Linked DNA regions of Xenopus tropicalis. Each later gene encodes a partner of the first gene's protein in a complex. Links are inferred from orthologs where the notes say so. Each region holds a gene or a part of one and is shown on either strand. Other genes may lie near its edges.

Region 1 (9,511 bases):
AGTATAGTACTGCTTACAGACCAGGGGCACTAGCGTCTTTATAACATTTTTACATCAAAGTGTTTGTTTAATCCCCTGAAAACTACCAGCCTTTGCCTAACTACATGCCATTACTTGTATCAGTGCTTTTCAAGGCAGCACCGTGTATGCATACATTTACCTCTTACCTGTAATTAAGTTGCAGCTCATGAAGGTTTGTGTCAGCTCCTCGGGGAATTTGTATTCAGCGTACCAGATGGACCAGCCTTCCTTGTCAAAGTGCTCCCAGAAATAAGGCAGAGCTACAGCCAGGGTATCTTCATTAGAGTATTTTCTCTTAAACTCATCCATTACAAAAGAGCTGCATGGGAAAATGAAGACTTGTAAGACGATAAAGGTCTATGACAGTGAAAGATTATAACTGGTCACTTAAGATTGGGATGTAGTGTTGTAGAGTCTGATGACAACAATTACATCAATTGCTCAATGATCTTACCTTTTAGGTAGATGTGCGTATGGGTCCTTTGATTTAGGCTCTGCTGCTAAAGCCTTTTCAGATTCATCCATATCATCCTCAGGGGCTGGGGCAGGAGCAGGAGCTGGTGTTGCCTTCTTCTTTTCCTCCTTTTCTTTTTTTGGCTCCTTTGCTGGCTTCTCTTTCTTGGGAGTTTCTTTCTTGGGCTGCATCTCGGCAAACTTCTTAGCTACAGAAAATTAAAAATAACACTCTCAGCCTGGCAGAAACACCACCATACAATGTGAAATAGTTTGAATTGCCATTTTGCTAAAAATTATTTTACATAGCAAATACAATAAGTTAACCTAACATCCCTATCAAAAGTAGACCACCACCTGTAAAAATGGCTTGTATATATTTAGCCCCGTTACAGACTGCGCTACATTTTGTTTATAAAAATGACATTCTGAAGATGATGCTTTATACAGAATACTGTTCATTCCAATCCTGGAAGTATTCATAAATACAAAGACCCTGGCCCTATATACAGCCCAGACAATTTGTTTATAGTTGAGCTCTAAATCAAATTAATCGGTTTTGCTGACCATAAGAGCTACTCAGTACAAGAATGATTTAGCGCAAAACAGACCAAACCTGCCTTGCAGGACCAGTAACACCAAAAAAATTATTTCTTAAAGTAATTCAAAAACACTGTTCTGCACAGGTAAAAGTTGTGTGTTTGTTTATATAAACTATACCAGTGTTTCAGAAACAAAGCTGCTGTGTAGGCACAGGGTAATAGGGTAATGGGATAGAAAAGAGAATTTTATAGGATGTTCAGGCTCACCATCAAACTGTGCCATCTTGTCACAAAGCTTGACTTCTCCCAACACAGCACGGAATTCTGGCTGATTCACACAGGTCACAAACCACCTTGTAACATTACCAAATGGCTGGCGGAAGGATGGTTCCAGGACCTATGGATAAATAGAAATTAATATATGGACACTAAAAAGAAGTGCTACAAAGGCTGACAGAAATGAGTGTGAAAATATGGGGATGTAGATACATGAAATGGGGTAAATGGCGAGGATTATTATACAGAAAGTTAGAATAGAAAAAAAATTAAAAAAAAAAAAACTTCAGTGTTTATGTATTCTGAGTGTGGGAAATCCAATAAATGATGAAGAACTGGTATACCAGAACAGGTATAATGGATCTTTATTATAAACAGTAATATAGTGAAGTATATGGCTAAAGGAGGCTACAAATTCACAACAGGAATACAGTTAGGAGGAATAAAAGACAAAGGAGAAACAGATAAAAATTAAAGTGTCAGACCTGCTTATAGAGCCACAGAAGAGAGCAAGTAACTGCTATATCAGCCAGCGTGACCCTCTCGCCCACTAGGAATGTCCGTGTCTTCAGATGAGAATCTAAAACACCCAGCACAGCCTTTATCTCCTCCTTGGCTTGTTCTGTGGCCTAGAAATATACAGAAAGAGCCATAATCCCAAATGGCCAGTTTTAAAAGGACAGAAATTGAGGTAAAATGGTCTATTATTTTCTTCAATCTTCAATTATTTTTGCTTCTGAGGCTTACTACCTTCTAACAAAAAAAACCCTATCCAAGAGGGTTGTTGAGATAACAAACAGTCGTGTACTAAAAAGTAGCCAGGAAGACTAGAATCCGCCATTATGCCAACCAGGGGGAATTAGTTAGGGTTGTGACACAGAGAGATTAGTCGCTGCACAGAAAACCTCCCCAAAATGCCATCCCACCGGCTAGAATGTAAATCGCCGGTGGGATGGCATAAGCATCAAGCGTGATTCGCAGAAGTCGCCTTGAGAGGAAACTCTGGCAACTTCCGCAAATCACACCGCCGCATATGCCATCCCACCGACGATTTACATTCTAGCCGGTGGGATGGCATTTTGGGGAGTTTTGTCACCCGTGACTTATCTACCCGTGTGTCACAGCCCTTAAGCAAGCTGCTATTTTCCAGCTAACTGCACAGATCACTTCACACCATTCAATAAACCGAAAGATACATATAACCATAACATTCACTAAATAAGGGTGGGGCAGAGATATACACACACTTTTTAAGGTAATCTTTCAATTTAAAACAGTTAAATCTTGTTAAACCCATATCGATCTTGGATCAGGCAGTTCATCCATCTCTGACAACTGCCTCGTGTTTACTTCATCTAAAGCTATGGCTGCGGCAAAAAGTAGGGTGACCCAATCACTTGAAAATTCAAGGACACATCTAGTACATGTCGCAGGAATTGTATTTCAAATCAGTTCAGCCCTGCTAGCTGGATTTATTTTTTCTCTTCATTACACGTCCCTGAATTTTCAAGCAATCTGGTCACCCTAAAGGGTCCTACTGACCCCAAACATTATGGGTGCTTGAAGTATTTGTAAAGCAAAGTATTTCATAATTCATCTCGACGCAGCACAAAGTAGAAAAGGAAAGGCCATTGTTAGATGAATAAATAATTTAGCAGATAAGCACGCAGCAGTGTGTAGTTAACCAAAGAAAATAAAGCAGAATAATGAACCCTTCTTACCTGCTTATTGTATTGCATGATCCCCAGAGTGGGAAAGACCCATGCGCTGGCCGGAGGGACAATGTGACTGTCTGAGAAGCTGACCCACTGGATGACCTGAGCTTGGTGTAAACGATTGGTTCCTCGGAGCTCATCATTGCCCACTGTCAGAGAAATATGTGAGAGGTGAGAATTAGGTTTCCTATTAACACCAAGTCAGAGAAAGTATGAGACATATGTGACAAGTCTAAAGGTGGCCACACACGTGGCGATTTTTGATCTTTTGTGCGATCGTTCCAATCCGCCACTAACATTCAGGGGTGAAATGGCAGATGTGGAGGAAGAAACAATAGGATTTCAACGAGGTTTCATACGATATTATCGGTGCATGTATGGCCAGCTTTAGGGTGAGAACACACAGAGCTACTAGTAGCAGCTACTTGCCGTGACTACTAAAAAAGAGAATGCTGATCATTTACAGATAATTGCCTCTACATGTGTTTTAGCAGAGGCAATTCTCAGTATTGTCTATGGCAGGGTATTTTCTGGAGTTTAGTAGTCATAAAAAAAAAGTAGCTGCTACTAGTAGCCCAGTGTGTCTTCACCCTAAGAGTGGACTTTCATTATACCCAGTCTGCAGGAGCCCGAGACACACAGAAAGAGGGACAAAAAGAAATGGATAACCTTGATGTAGAATGATAAAGATTCACAGCTCATCTCAGAGCTCACATGCTCTCCAATTTAAATCTGAGACTCCAAGTCAGCATTTGTCTTGTAGTGCAATTCTATGCATTCCGCCACAAGGAATGCCTATAAAAATATGAAGAGATTAAGGTATAATTTGCCAGGTTGCTATTTTATGATTTCAGCTTTGCAGCTGCTGTTTGAATGGCCAGCTATCCATAAGTTTTTTTTTTTTTTAATAACCTTTCACAGGAATACTGCTTATGTTTATAATTCCACCTTAGTGTAGGGAGTGCAAGCAGCAGAACTATAAGTGGCCATCTCCAAAGATAGAACACTTCCCAAGGTTCTCAACCTATAATGGGACATGCCAGCAGGGTTGATCGATATTGGCGAGTACAGAAAATCTGTATTTGTCCGAAATATGTGGAAACATCTTTACTGAAATGTTTTTATGTAAAATCACTATTTCTGGGCAGTTTCCCACCAGGAGGCCAGCAGGCAGGATATGTGACTGAACCTGGGCCTGGGCTGGGGATTCCATGGATTGATCTAAATAAATAGATTTTTAAGAAGAGAAAATGGCCAGAACGAGAGCAGAAATGGTAGGTGCACAATTTTTGGGTTATTTTAGGACCATCCAAACAGTGACATAACTAAGCAGCACCTGGGCCCAGTTGCAATTTTAAATGCATGCACTCCCTCCTCCTCTGTACCCCTTTCCCCATTCATTTATTTGCAGAGAGCAGAAGAGCAAACATTGGAAATAAGGAGGGAGAACCATACAGCAGACCAAGCCTGGACTGGCAATCTGTATATTCTGTAAAATGCGAAAGGGGCTGCTGTAAGATGCCACTGGGCTGGGGGTTTGGCCTCTGTGTACTTGAAATGTTGAGGCCTATTTTGAATCCCAGTCTGGCCCAGCAGCAGACCTTGAGACCATTATACCTCCCCTGTGGCTGTGGGGTCTGCTGTATACTAGTTACAGCAACAACCTCCAAATTAGCTTCTTAGGGTAAGAACCCACATAGCGAGTTACTCACCCACAACAGACCGCTGCTATCATGGGCGAGTAAACGCTCTGAAAAGGCTTTTCTCCTGCAGGCAACTTCACGCAACTTTGGAAACCGAAGGCCTTTTCACCCATGACTTCTACTGTTGCCGATGGAAAGCCTTTTCGGAGCAGTTACTATCACAGGTGGGTTCTTTCCCTAAGGGCCAGAGAGTAATTGCTAGGTCTGATTCTATAAAGGCTAACCTGCTGAAGATAAAATGATAACAAGAGATAAAATGATTGTCTCACCATAATGAGCAATGGCGCTGCTCTCAAAAAGGCAAAAACCGTCGTTGCCCTCAAATGCTGGTACCTAAAAGTCCAGAAAGAGTTTGATTAAGGACAATAATATTACCTTAAAAAGTTCATTACATCCAGGGCTACAGTATGAATATATACATACTGTACACACATTGCAGATTATCTGGAGGGGTTGAAGTTGAGGGACTATGGAAGCAAATGCATTACCTTGCCTAAGGGGAATTTCTTTAGGAACTCGGATGTCTTATTCGTTACTCCAAACTGGAATTCTGGAGGAGAGGAGGCAACCTTGATGGGGAACCCCGAATACTGAGCAGCAATGAGGGGCTTGTATGCCCTCCAGTTATCAGGGTATGTGTACAGAGTCTGCAGAGAGAATACACACAGTTATACATTATACACACTGAGGCAAGCAAATATTGTACAAAATGATTATCCCCAATCATATGGGACTTTGCACCACCAGGCACCATATACAATTCCATGTACCATATTTAGGGTTGCTGAAGGAAACATTTTCCTTTATATATCTAACACATTCTAATGTACACCCAAGGCCCTGGAAAGCAGCACATATCTTACTACATGCCATATCACTATTCTTATGTGAAGTCTCCTACTGGGTAAAGCTAAGCCTTGGCAGACAACAGAATGTAAGCCTAAAATCTTTAACTCAAGCAGCTACTTCTTGTCTTTATACTCTTATGGCAGCAGCAAATAAAACCAGGGTTGCCACCTCACCACTTTACGCCACACTACTAACATGTATTAGCTACAACACTGCATGGCAGCTCAAAAGCCTTCCCATGCGTTGGAAGTTCTCTATAGAGAATACTGTGCATCTGTCACATGTCACTGTATAGAGCCGCTGTCACACAGCAGCCGGTATTACAGCCGTACAAATGGCGCACAGAGCGGGAGAGAAACGCGTGTGGAAGGAGCAGGCAGGGACACGTGACTAGGGGCAGTTACCGGGGCAGCGCCGTATTGCCCTCTCTTTGTACCGCTCCCCTTAGTTCCGGGTAAAGCCGGGCACTATTCCCACTAACTTTACCCCATACTACCAGCACCAAACCGGGAGATGAAAGGTGACCCGGATAGCAGAGCGCACCCCATATCCCAGTGACCCACACTACGGCCCGGATATATCATAAGCTGTCGGATGTGGATGGATTTTCTGGGACCTATTCATTACTTACCCCGCCGGCCATCTTCACGCGAGTAGAAAGGGAGGAGCCGCAGTTCCAGCTCTCCGACGTAATATAGGTGCCGAAAACAGACTACGGGCTGTCGTAAAATAGAGGAGTGTAAGCGACGGGAGCGTAACGTGACGCTTTCGGGACGTACAGGCAGGTGATATGTGGCAGTATGGGAGATACAAAGGGTTTCTGTCAGAAAACCCTACCCCAAAAAAAGGATTCTATGGAGTTAAGCTGTGATAGTGAGTTTAATAAGCTGAGAGTGAGAGGGATTCACTTCCCTGGCAGAACCTTCCAGAACAGCATAGAGGGATTTCCTTGCAATGTAGGAGCCAGCTGCTAAGGGATAATACATTTAGTCAGGACCATAGATAGAACTAACATATGTGGCTGCCTGAAATATGTATTATAGGTGTTATTGAAAAGTCTGTTAAAATGACCTGTCAAAGGTCATTTGGGGTAGAAAAGTAAGGTTTATTAGACACTTAATTGGGTTCTGAGCAAAACATAGAACAAAACCAGTGTTGCCAGATTTATTTTTCCAAACCAGCCCAAAACTAGCCAAAAGCCACTTCGAAAGTAGCCCAAAAATAGCCCAATATACAAAATGAAAACAAATTCTAAAAAATAAAAGTATATATGGGAAAATGCTTTTTTTGTAGTGTATAATTACTACCCATGCCCTGTGCCCTCTCTCCAGTTACTGGGATGGCTGATGTTTCCCAGCCCCCTGTGCCCAGTCCATGCAGGTTATAGTAGTTTTGCTGGTTCAGGTTCAGCAAAGAGGAATAGAAAAGGGAGCTTCTGTCTATAATTGCATGCTGGGTATTGTAGTTTTATATTAATCTTAGCTGTAGGCTAATTGTAAGAATTGTACTTTCTTTTAAAGTAACTTAAGTTTTTGCAAAAGTTACATAAATTGCATAAGTGTAGTGGCCCAATGATGTTGCTGTGGGGCCCAATAACCAGTCATTCCTCTGCTGTAAAGTTCATGCAGGAGTGCACAAATCCATCTGTTAATAGTTTTCAATATAAACAGCCGACATTACTCTTTAATAAATAGTTAAAATGAGTAATTAATGTGCTAATGTAATATGAGTAGTAATGTAATAATGAGTCAATTCACTGGGGACAGTAACATTTACCTTGACTTTTTTGATCTATTGGGGGGGTCATATTGGGATATGCAAGTTAGGTTAGGGTATTTCCATACAGCTGATTCTTGAATCTAAAAATCTTTCAGTTGTGCCTGCACCCGGAAGCACTGAATCCGCCTGGGTGCAGGCACACGCATGATATTTCTGCCTGAAACTGCTTGGAGCAGAGGGGCCGATTCTTGGAAAGCAGAAAAACAGTTTCTGAGAATCAGACCATCCACTTAAAAATCAGCCCCGTGTGGCATTACCCTGTTTCTAGCCAGTTTTTGTGGAAGACATGTAAATTATGTAAGTTCTAAAGCAACTTTTGTGATGAGGCCAGCCCCCCCTTCTGGAGATTTTACTGGGCCCGGTACAACAGTACCCCCTCTCCCTCCTTATAGAATTAACCCTATTTTCTTAATAGGAGAGGAAGAAATTAGACTGCAAGCACACCAGGGTCAAGGAATCATAAATGATTTAGTGCCATTTACACTGTATAAAATACAAAATACCACATTACTGTACACAATACTAACCTCTAAAATATTTATTTTAAAATAGCAATGCCATTAGCAGTAAATGGTGCAGTCGGGGGCCCTCTGATTTGATGGAGCCTGAGACACTAGTACTGTTTGTTATCCCTGATGGCAGCCCTGCTTATACCGCATAATGTACCCCTAATTGATATGGTCATTGAATGCCTTAGTGACCGCTTACATCTTATAACATCTAATGCTGAGCATACAGAGGCAAATCAGCATATATGATAAAGTGACCAAATCAAGCTTGTCTTAATGGTCCCTAGGCCAATAGGTTGTTCTCATGGGGGGGTATGCAGACTTCCAGTAAGGAAGCATTATGCAGTAAATTAGTTGGAAATCAGCAAGCTGCAGAGTCACTGTAGGGATCAGTTGTGCTCTGTAGTGATGAGTAATCACTTTTAAGGGCTCAGCCCAGAATGCAGAAGAGAGGCAACATGCAGCATTTCATCTGCAATCGGAGTGCCAGTGCAGTCTAGCTGGGTCTGTTACTTCCTTCCTTCCGTGTACAGTGAAACACAAGAATAAAGCCATCCCTCTGAAGCAAAGAACAAATGCCATTTGAAATAAAAACCCTGCAGCCAGCAGGTAATGGGGCAGATAATGGCGATGAAGCTCTCAAAGACTGCCACCCTTCCCTTTGATGGCAAATTGGCTCAGCTATGGCACCATACAGAAAATATATGGCACCCAGTGTGCAATGAAAACTTAACCTTTCTTCCCAGATATTAAAAGCATGATACTGGATCAAATGCTGCTCTTAGTCAAGGTGAAATGGGAGCAATTAACTGGGTGTGGCGGTTATGTGTATGTATCATGGTAGGTATTATAATTGCAGTAATTATCGTCTGGGAAAGAGACATTATGGGTGGCAAGCATTATAGCTTTTTCAGGTTTGGCACATGGTCTTATGGAGCCCCCTTAACACATTTATGCAATTTCATTTCTCACCAAAAAATATTCATCATTCAAAAACATAGAATTAAAAAATAATAAAGTATATGTTTTAAAGAAGATAAGGTTTAAAATCAAGGCACAGGGTCCATCAGGTTCAACATTGTTGTCTTATTGTTGATCCAGTTCTATAGATGGTGCTTCTCTTCTTTTTCTCTGGCCACTGTCCATGGTTCAGGTTAAATGTTACTGTGTTATAGAATGTCCTATTCCTAGCAATGTTGCAATTGGTTTTCATTATTTTTTTTTTTTAATTATTTGCCTCCCACTTTTACATCTTTCCAGCTGTCAAATAGGGATCTCTGACCCCTAGTAGTCAAACTATTGCTCTGTGATCTTGCAATTTTATTATTATTGTTACCTTTTATTACTTAGCTATCTGTTTAGTCCCTGTTCTAGTCATATTCCAGTCTCTCATTTAAAGCACTGCTAAGGTAAACAAGACCCTAGAAACTAGATAGCTGATGAAATTTCAATCTGGAGAGCTCATGAACAAAAATCTAAATAAATGAAAAGCCACTAAAAAATAAATAATAAAAAACAATGAAGACCAGTTACTAACTGTCTCAGAATGTCAGCGTCTCTAGATCATGTATGTATGTATATATATATATATATATATATATATATATATATATATATATGTTTTGAGCACAACCCCCAGCACCCTTCAAAAATGTAACCCACCA
Region 2 (9,511 bases), on another chromosome or scaffold:
TTAAAATATAATTTACTGTTGCCCTGCGCTGGTAAAAGTTGTGTTTATATAATCAAAGTTGCTGTGTAGCCATGGGGGCAGCCATTCAAGCTGGAAAAACGAGAACAGGCACAGGTTACATAGCAGATAAGAGCTGCTCAGCTTATCTGTTATCTGCTTTTTTCGGTTACAAAATCAGTCGCGGCAAGCAATTGTGAAGATTTTCCTGCCACAGGGTAGAGTATATGTTGCTGCAACAAAACACGTGCCCACAACTTTTTAAAAAGTCGCCGCATGTGTCTTCACCCTGACAGAAGAACCCTTTTCTAGCCTTCTTCTAATTCAACTAGATAATTAAAAATAAAGTTCAGTATAAATTATTGGAAGTATTTTAGGATTTAAGTGGAATCTTCAAGAAGTGTAGTAAAATGTTACAGCCACAGATAAAAAAAAAAAACAAAACAAAAAAAAAAAAAAAACCTACTTGTAGCACAGTAGTGCCTGGTTCAACCATCACTGGTTTTCCATCAACAAACACCTCAACCAAATTGCTGGCAGCAGTTGCAGTTGTCCGTACTGAGAGAAAAAAAAAATATTTTTTTTTTTAGAAAAGTTTACAATAGGAAAACTAAAGTTTGGTGTGATAAGGCCTTATAAGTACAAGCAAGTGATAAATAACTAAGAAAGGGGCATACATCAAAAAAGCTGAAACTGTAAATGGTCACAGAACACAAAAATAGAAAACTTACCATTATTCTTAGAGTTTTGGGTGGCACTTGCCAGTACCCTGCGAACTACAGGCCTCAGCATTTTGCTACAAATCAAAAGAAAAGGTTAGCCTGGCACATTTTGAGGCTGTCTGAAGATTAGAAAATGCAATAATTCAACACATAATATTTGCGAAAAAGTATGCATTTTTAACTTATTAAATAGGAGAAGCCACCAAATGCATTATTTTTTCTTTCATAGAATAAAAGGTTAAATAACCAATTCAATCCTTAATAAATGCTTGTGGTAGTTCCTGAACCAGATTGCTTAACCTTTTTATTGTGAGAACATCTTATAAAAATAGCATTTGTATAACAAACAGATTGTCCTTGAATGTAAGTAAGGGCCAAAAGCTGTGCACGGAATAGTTTAGACCCCTGACAAATGTTACCACCCCAGCCTGTAAAAACGATGCCTGATACCATGGTTATTAATGGGGGGGGGGGGGGGGGGGGGGGGTAGAATATAGAATCCTCTGTGAATGCATTGCTAGTTAAAATGTTCTATTATTCTATTATTCAGACTCTTTGAGTTATGTTATAAAGGGTGCAATTAGTTTATTATAGGTCTAATCACCTATCTTAAAGGAGAAGTATACTCCCGGGCTCAAAAAGCACCCATAACTATCACTATCTAGACCCCCCTCACCTCTCCCTTATTGTATTGTTTTTAAGTTTAATGACTGTCCCTATCTCTTATAGCTAGCTAATAATCCAGAGGAGCGCAGCCCCCTACCTGTCCGACATTTTCTTACTGACTAAAGACACTTCTGGTCTCACCGCCGTCACCTAACCTGCTTGTGCACGTGCAGTTGAAGCGGATTTCCTACCTCCAACTGCGCATGCACAAGCAGGTTTATATCGGCAGAGCGACCAGAAGTGTCTTCAGTTGGAAATAAGATGTCGGCGATGTATGTGGCTGCGCTTCTCTGCATTTTTAGTTAGCGGTTAGAGATAGGGACAGACATTAAACAATAAGGAAGAAGTGAGGGGGGTCTAGGCAGTGATAGTTATGGGTGCTTTTTGTGCCTGGGGGTATAGTCCTCCTTTAAGCAATACGGAGGCATGTACAGGTCAAACATCTTATTGACTGCTACAGGTTACTGCTAGTAATGTGTGGGTTGACAGCCTCTCCAAAACTAGATTTTTATGGTGTACTTTTTATTTCTAAATGACACTGCGTAAATTGGTACATTGAAAAGGAATCTACGATTTAAAATGTTATTCTTAAACAATAAATAATATTTGGTGTATTTTTTTAAGTTTCAATATTGACGTGTAGGCAGTCATTTCAGAGCATTGTGCTAGATCCTGTGCTTTTAGAAAGTGCCAGCACTTCAGAATGCAACTGCTTTTAGATTAGCGATTTTTTTCTCCTACTCAGGACTTCAGTTTTAAACTATTAAGTGCTACGCTCATATCTACCAGGTGTCAGGGAGCTGTTATCTTGTTACCTTCCCATTATTTTGCTTTTATGCTGCTGTAAGGGATAGGTATGGGGTGACCACTCCAACTTGCACTGCCACTATAAAGAGTGACTGAAGTCTATCAGAGAACAAGTCACATGGTTGTGGGCACCTGGGAAACTAAGAAGATGTCTAGCCCACATCATATTTAAATTAAATATGAAAAAAAAATATATGTTTGCTCTTTTGAAAACTGGGTTTCAATACAGGATTTTGTTGTATGAGAGCTATATTTACAGATACACCTGTCACCCTGAAATTGTTTCCCCCACCAGTGGTGCAGGCTAATGGAGCCTGCACTCCAGTTGGGGGAAACAATAGTTTAAAAAAAAATAATAATAAATAGCCCCCACCAGCACTAGGCTGCCTGCACCAGTAGGAAGCTTTTGGTGTGGGTGGCTATGTTGGGGCACATGCAAAAGGATGAGCGAGAGCAACATCTCGCTCATTATGCACAGGTATGTGACATAAATTGCAATTCGCAATTAATGTCAGATGATAATGAGCATGTGAGGAGACTGGCTTTTTATGCACGCTATAGAACAGTGATCCCAACCAGTGGTTCATAAGAAACATGTTGCTCCCAGGGTCCTCAAAGTAAGAGCTTATTTTTGCATTTCTGGCTTGGAGGTAGGTTTTGGTTGCATAAAACCCAGTGTAAAGCCAAACAGAGCCTTCTATAGGCTGCCAATCCATATAGGGTGCAACCAAACAGCCAATTATAGCTCTTGTTTGCACCCCCAGGAACTTTTTCCATACTTGTGTTGCTCCCCAACACTTTTTCCATTTGAATGTGACTCATGGGTATAAAAGGTTGGGGATGCCTGCTATAGAACATGACAGCCTTCACCAAAAGCTCTCTCCCAGTGTGTGTGGGCTAGTGCGGCTGACACACACCAAAAAATTGTTTTTCCCAAACAGAATGCTGGCTCTATTAGCTTGCAACTGTCCTTGGGGAAACATTTTTCAGGGTGACAGGGTGCCCTTCAAGGTATGGTGTTCCAAATTCCAGACAGATCCCTTATCGGGAAAACCCCAGGTTCCAAGCATTCTGGATAACAGGTCCCATACCTGTATTATACTTTATCCCACCCCACAAAAAAAAAAAAAAAAAAATCTGCCATAGCCATTGAGCCACAAGCCAGGTCATAAAAACTAATTTTAATCAATATTACAATATTCCCTATTTGCTGAGTAACGACTTAACCAGCGCAACCAATTGCATGTGTAATTTTCGCGCAATGTGCAATAACTAAGAGGTTAGAGGATGTGCAAGGAGAGAAGCGCATTACTGAATCCCAGCAGAGCTCTGAGTAAAGACGCGCACCCATGCACAGACTATGGAACGCTGTAGCCCGCGGGTTTGCTAGTATAGGAAGGGATGGAGTCTGGAAATCTTTAGCGAATAATAGAAGAGTCCAAGTCCTACCGAACTAAACTACATCTGTCAAGGGCACAAGAGTGACCTACTACCTTGCTAGACACACAGCCAACACCATTACACCGTAACGCAGGGTTACCGCATCGGTTATGCAAAACATTACAAAGAATTGCCATTTCCAAACCACTCACCCCACCGACTCCCCTAAACAGCTCTGGGAATATTTGGCCTTCTAGACCAGAACAGCCCTGGCCGGCACCCTTGACCAATATGGCGGATTTAAGCAACCTCCGGAACAAGCCACGGAAGATGGTAAGAATTATACGTAACTGAGAAAGCTTCGGTAACTTCCGCACAGGCAAAGACTAGAGATCGACAAAGTCCGGCAAAAATGACGAACGAGACTCGGAGAAACTTCGTTTCCGAAATGTTGCGAACGCAACATCGTTAGTCTTCGGCACAGGCAGTTTCCGGATCGACTTAACATCGGCTATCTCCGTGATAAGCGGCAACACATGCAATCCCAAATATTTCTGCAGTCGGAAAACGAAGATATGGTCTCCAGTAAGTAATACTTTGCCGAAAGGGTGCGGATAAAAAAAAATATAAACTTGAAATGATGTACATGTTACATAGTGAGTCTTTAAGGAAGGCTTAGCCCGCCCCTCGTAGCCCCGCCCCCTGTCTATAAAAGGCATCTACCCGGCCTGCAAGTTCTTTTCTTTACCCGTGTGTGCTAGGCTTCTTGAGTGAATTGCTGTAATGGGTTTCGGCGATCTCAAATCCCCTGCAGGCCTTAAGGTCCTGAATGAGTTCCTGGCCGACAAGAGCTACATCGAGGGGTCAGTGTGGTAAATGCTATATTATAGTTGTGCTAATGTTCGAAAGGACAAGGAATGTGTAATATGAATGAACGTGTTGGCTTCCAACGCGTGGTCCTAGGCCGCAACCTCCTGCTGCCTGACTCCTGAATTCTTTTAGCTGCAGTGCCGTAAACGTGTCACAAAATCCCAAGTGATGTAATATGTAAAGGCTGCCTGGTTAATTGTGCCTTGTGCTTTAGTTATGTATTCTTTCTAATGTTAATAATTAAGTGTTTCTTGGAATCATTTGTAAATGTAATTTGTATTAAAAGCAGAATAGGTCTGGATTTCTACACTTTCGGCACTGCTGGCTACGACTGCTGAGCCGATGTAGCAGAAGCCAGCTGCTTAAACTGCACTATGTCAGAGAACGGAAAATTATATAAACTGTTCAGTGTAACTAAATGTGCAAATAGCCTTAAAACTTGGATAATGTTTATAGGAAACAAATGTTTGGACACTATTTATACAGTTTTTTCTACTGTACTATATTATGTTTAGTGGTTATGCTGCTAATTGTATATTTACCCCCACCCTTTTCAGATATGTCCCTTCCCAGGCTGATGTTGCAGTATTTGATGCCCTCTCTGGTGCGCCCCCTGCTGACCTTTTCCATGCTCTGCGTTGGTACAACCACATCAAGTCTTATGAAAAGCAGAAAAGTAGGTAAGCAGTATGATAAAGTATAGCTATTGCTTTCACAGCAGTGATTGATAAAGGAGCATGGTTGAAAAAATATGATACTGTGCTGAATACAATATTCTTTGTTTTAGGTTGAGCTGTTCTACAGCACTTTGAAGCACGTTCACTACTATACTTATCTAATCTGAATCAGATTTTTTTTTTTTTTAATTCGGTTTATTGGTTAACATCCAGCTGAAAAATCACTGCCTATGGCTGTAGTGCTCATGCAGCCAGAAAGTGGCTGCAACATACATAAGCTTTGATAGTACTGTTGGCCTGCTGTAGAATGTAAATGGGCACAATTCTAATTAACATGGATCATGAATGTGTATCATTTTTGTGGTCTATGAAGTATTTTAAAGGAGTTGTTCACCCTTATGTTAAATTTTAGTATACTGTACAATTTTGAGACAACTTTTTTTTTTTTTTTATTTTGGTGTTTGAATGATTGTTTTTTTGTTAAACCGCTGTCCAGTTTCACATATCTGGTTGCTAGGGTCCAATTTAACCTAGGCAACTAGCCAGTAGTTTGAAAGATGGAAAATTCAATATAGGAGGCCCTAAATAGAAAGATAAGTACAAAAAAAAACAGCTTCACAGAGCAACAGATTTTTGGATTCTGAGGTCAGTGACCACCCCCCCTCATTTGAAATCTGGAAAGAGTCTGAAGAAAAAAGGCAAAAAAACTATACACCATAAAAATGAAAACCAACTGAAAAGTTGCTAAGAATAGGCTGTTCTATAACATACTAAATGTTAACCTGAAGTGTTCTCTTTGACAGTAGGACAGAATTGCATTCTCTTGGCTTAATTGATGCTAGCTGAGCACACAGAATGCCCAGTCAGACATGCAGAGGAGCCTCGTCAAATAGTAGCGTGGCTACCCATATTTGGGCCAGCTTGCAGTCATTTGCAGTTAAGATGTCAGTATTGTAATTTGTTCTCTATTGTAATTTGTTCTCTAAAGTTGTATGTAATTCTAGATAACTGTATATTCCTTGTGACTCACCTCTAAGCAGCTGCTAATGCAAATAGCCTAGAAGTATATTTCTCCTTTGTAAAGTAGTTTTTTTTTTTTTTTTTTTTTTTTTTTTTTCCTAGCCTGCCTGGTGTGAAGAAGCCTCTGGGAAACTATGGCCCTGTTAACATAGAAGATACTACAGGCAGTACAGCAAAAGATACCAAGGAAGAGGATGATGATGATGACATTGACTTGTTTGGTTCAGATGATGAAGAGGTGGGATGTGTAACAATCTTTAGATGTAATAAAATTAGACCTAAGAAGCATAAGGTGCAGAATAAATTACACTGGCTGTACAGCTGTGTCCATAATTTTTTTTTTTTTTTTTTTAACATGCTGTTCTACAGACTGAAATGTAAAGAGAGTTTGCTGTGTTTCATGTAGTCTCCTTGTGGACAATGAACGTAGCAAAAATGCGTGCATGCTTTAATTGTGCTCCACTGTAACCACAAATTCATTATATTACATGCCCAAGGCACACTACTATGGCCACATACCTGAAGCAGTGTTTGCTGTTGGTTACTAAGGTTCTAAACATGTGAAGGGAGTTGTGTAAAACACAAATTTGGCTGTACTATATTCAGGCTGGTCATGTGATGAATGAGCTAAATCACCATCTTTCGGCTGATTTGTGATGCATATTGTCTTCTAAACTGACTACACCAGCCTGTTAACTTAAAAAAACAAAAAAAAAACTTGCTATTGTGCAGAATCTTAAGTTTTTCTATTTCATAGGAAAATGAAGAATCAAAGAGGGTCCGCGAAGAACGCTTAGCACAGTATGAAGCAAAGAAGTCTAAAAGTAAGTGGCCTTCTCCCGAGTGTTTATTCTCCTTAAGGCATATGTTTTTAATTGTTTTGCCTTAAGAAAAGCAAAGTGCAATCACTACCTGTTTACATACTGGTCTTCAGTTCCTTTTTTTTTTTTTTTTTTTGTGGAATGGAAATACTTGCCACAGATACTGGTCTGGAGCTGTATTACTATGTGGCAGTTCCAGCATTCCTCCTGTGGCACATTAAAATGTTTTGCAGCTTTATTTCCTCTCAGTCTGGGAGGACTTGGCTGTATTTCAAACATGGTTCTGTTTTATTCTGTACCACTGTCTACAAACTATATGGTGTAAACCTTAGTGTAAAAAATGCCATATAGTATTGTTATAGTATGTTCAGCAAGGCAGTGGCTATGGTTTGTGACTTAGAAAGGTGTAACACTTGACTTTCCCACTAGAATTTTACTTGTGCTTTTATTTTGTGGGATTTTGGGGTAGTCTGAATGTGTGGCTTAAGGCTGTTAGAATGTGTATTCAGTTTATATATTACTAGTCCTTTACTTGCGGACATAATCTAATTTACACTTCTTCACAATCTTCAAATTCTCCAAAGGTGATTAAATCTTAACCAATTTGTTTCTTTAGAACCAGCACTTATTGCCAAATCATCCATTCTTCTTGATGTGAAGCCATGGGATGATGAAACGGATATGGCCAAGCTAGAAGAGTGTGTCAGAAGTATACAGATGGAAGGCTTGGTGTGGGGAGCATGTAAGTTTATATTTTGTAGGTAGTCTAAAGAATATCTTCACCTTAACTGTAATGATGATTAAAATATCACCATCTTTCGACTGATGCTAATGATGGATGTATTTTTATTCTGACTGCCTTTTATTTAAACACTGTAAAGGTATGTGTTTACTGAATGTACAAGTCTTTACATTCTGACAATATGTAGCAAGTAGACTTGATTTAAAATGCACATTTAATGGCTTTATCAACCGTCATCTGTTATCTCAATTGTTCTATTCCTTCTGCAGCAAAGCTTGTTCCTGTTGGATATGGCATTAAAAAGCTGCAGATCCAGTGTGTGGTTGAAGATGACAAAGTTGGCACAGATGTTTTAGAGGAGAACATCACTGCATTTGAAGACTTTGTGCAATCCATGGATGTTGCTGCTTTCAACAAGATCTAAACTGATTTCATGAAGCCCCCATACTTTTACAGCACTTCAAATAAAAACATTTGCTTAATGTGAAGTTGGTGTTCACTTTGTATTGTGGCTGCTTTCCTTGCAACAAAGTTGCACGCATTCAATCTATCTTGCCTCTGTAGGATTAAAGTATGCCAAATAGGCATCAATGTGTTTCAATCCACTGTGGATGGTTGTCTGGATGTAGAAGATGATCTCTAATGGGTCATAACTTGGTGTCCATTGTTGCTCTGAAGTCCACAAAAGCACTCTTGGCTAATTGTAACAAGTTTTTGACTTGTGGTATGCATGTGGAAACTTAGTTTTTATTTAAGGGCATGTCAACCCCAAACATTTTTACCAAAAAAAAAAACCTTGTTCTAAGCAACTTTCCAATATGCATTTATTAAATTAGTGCTTTTAATAGTTAATCTGTAAATCAAATTGCTATAGAAAGCAGCATTTGCTGAACTCCTGGTTGTTACTACTTAAACAATGTTGCCAGACCCCTCAAACAAGGCAGGTCTGTAAAATCTGCTTGTGTTACACTGTTTCAGGTGCCAGAGCCACCAGGGCAGAGAATAGGACAGGCAGACACTGCTGGATCTTGTAGCCTTCTAACCCAGGTTACAGCCAGACAGGAGGGGGTTGGGAGCCACCAGTTGGACAGCACTGTCTTAGCCAATAAAGGTATCACCTTTTATACCACTTTTGTTATTGTTTATTTCAAAAGGGTTGCCCTGTAACATTTACATCCCTATGTTGTCTCAGTGATTATATTACATTTTTGGCACATTTTTAGCCATTTTATTCAATTTTCAATTCTGCAAAGATGTTGGTTTGTTTCTGTCTGTAAAATTTATTTGGCTAAGCTAAAATATTCAAACTACTGATTTTAATTATTTTTTTGCATTCTCCATTGTTCTTTGGTACTTGTTTGTGCCCTTGGAAATTTTGTCTGTTATTTATCTATTTTGGGTGCCTCTGCATGCCAAACATAAGAACATATATGCATATTGGCATCAAACTGTAAGTAGTTCATATGGTGTTCATATTTAGAATGTTTGATGTTGGTAGGTTACAACTTGTGGGGCATATAATAGGGTAAAATGCAAGCTTTGTGATTTTCAGGAATTTTATGAAAACTGCTGCATTTAGCATAGTTTTGCTGTTTGGTAGTTTGTAGTAGAAAGAAGTATTTAACCATTTTGGTTTTATCAGAATGTGTACTATCAGAAAATATATGGTTTTCTAGGGTCTCCATACCGTTAGGGGGTCTTATGGCACATAATACTCATACCAGGTGCTTTTATGGCAGCAGCCAGAATGTCAGACATGAAAATTGATATGCACTATTTGTATTTGGTCTCTGTATGTCACATAGCTTG

Evidence for each region.
Region 2: the proteins of eef1g (region 1) and eef1b2 are in contact, whole or in part, in a crystal structure (PDB 5DQS), measured with the Homo sapiens proteins. The link is inferred for Xenopus tropicalis from reciprocal best matches to the Homo sapiens genes EEF1G and EEF1B2. Residues at the interface, in NP_001395.1 of Homo sapiens: Leu146, Lys147, Thr148, Arg149, Thr150, Phe151, Glu155, Arg156, Pro185, Asn186, Arg189, Leu192, Thr193, Asn196, Gln197, Pro198; in NP_001032752.1 of Homo sapiens: Ala20, Asp21, Lys22, Ser23, Tyr24, Tyr28, Val29, Cys50, His51, Arg54, Asn57, His58, Ser61, Tyr62, Glu65.

Annotation. Positions count from the first base shown.
Region 1 is NC_030680.2:36,802,888-36,812,398, forward strand, and holds the start of eef1g (elongation factor 1-gamma), read right to left. Parts: upstream 6,209-9,511; 5' UTR 6,203-6,208; coding exon of another isoform or gene 6,191-6,202; intron 5,358-6,190; coding exon of another isoform or gene 5,199-5,357; intron 5,044-5,198; coding exon of another isoform or gene 4,980-5,043; intron 3,803-4,979; 5' UTR 3,677-3,802; intron 3,157-3,676; coding exon of another isoform or gene 3,032-3,156; coding exon 3,014-3,031; intron 1,922-3,013; coding exon 1,778-1,921; intron 1,414-1,777; coding exon 1,284-1,413; intron 684-1,283; coding exon 476-683; intron 341-475; coding exon 168-340; intron 1-167. UniProt on the Homo sapiens protein: Probably plays a role in anchoring the complex to other cellular components.
Region 2 is NC_030685.2:50,701,139-50,710,649, forward strand, and holds eef1b2 (elongation factor 1-beta), read left to right. Parts: upstream 1-4,309; 5' UTR 4,310-4,355; coding exon 4,356-4,435; intron 4,436-4,999; coding exon 5,000-5,122; intron 5,123-6,241; coding exon 6,242-6,377; intron 6,378-6,896; coding exon 6,897-6,963; intron 6,964-7,576; coding exon 7,577-7,702; intron 7,703-7,971; coding exon 7,972-8,126; 3' UTR 8,127-8,190; downstream 8,191-9,511. Other genes in the region: ndufs1 (NADH-ubiquinone oxidoreductase 75 kDa subunit, mitochondrial), read right to left, coding at 464-555, 729-789. UniProt on the Homo sapiens protein: Catalytic subunit of the guanine nucleotide exchange factor (GEF) (eEF1B subcomplex) of the eukaryotic elongation factor 1 complex (eEF1).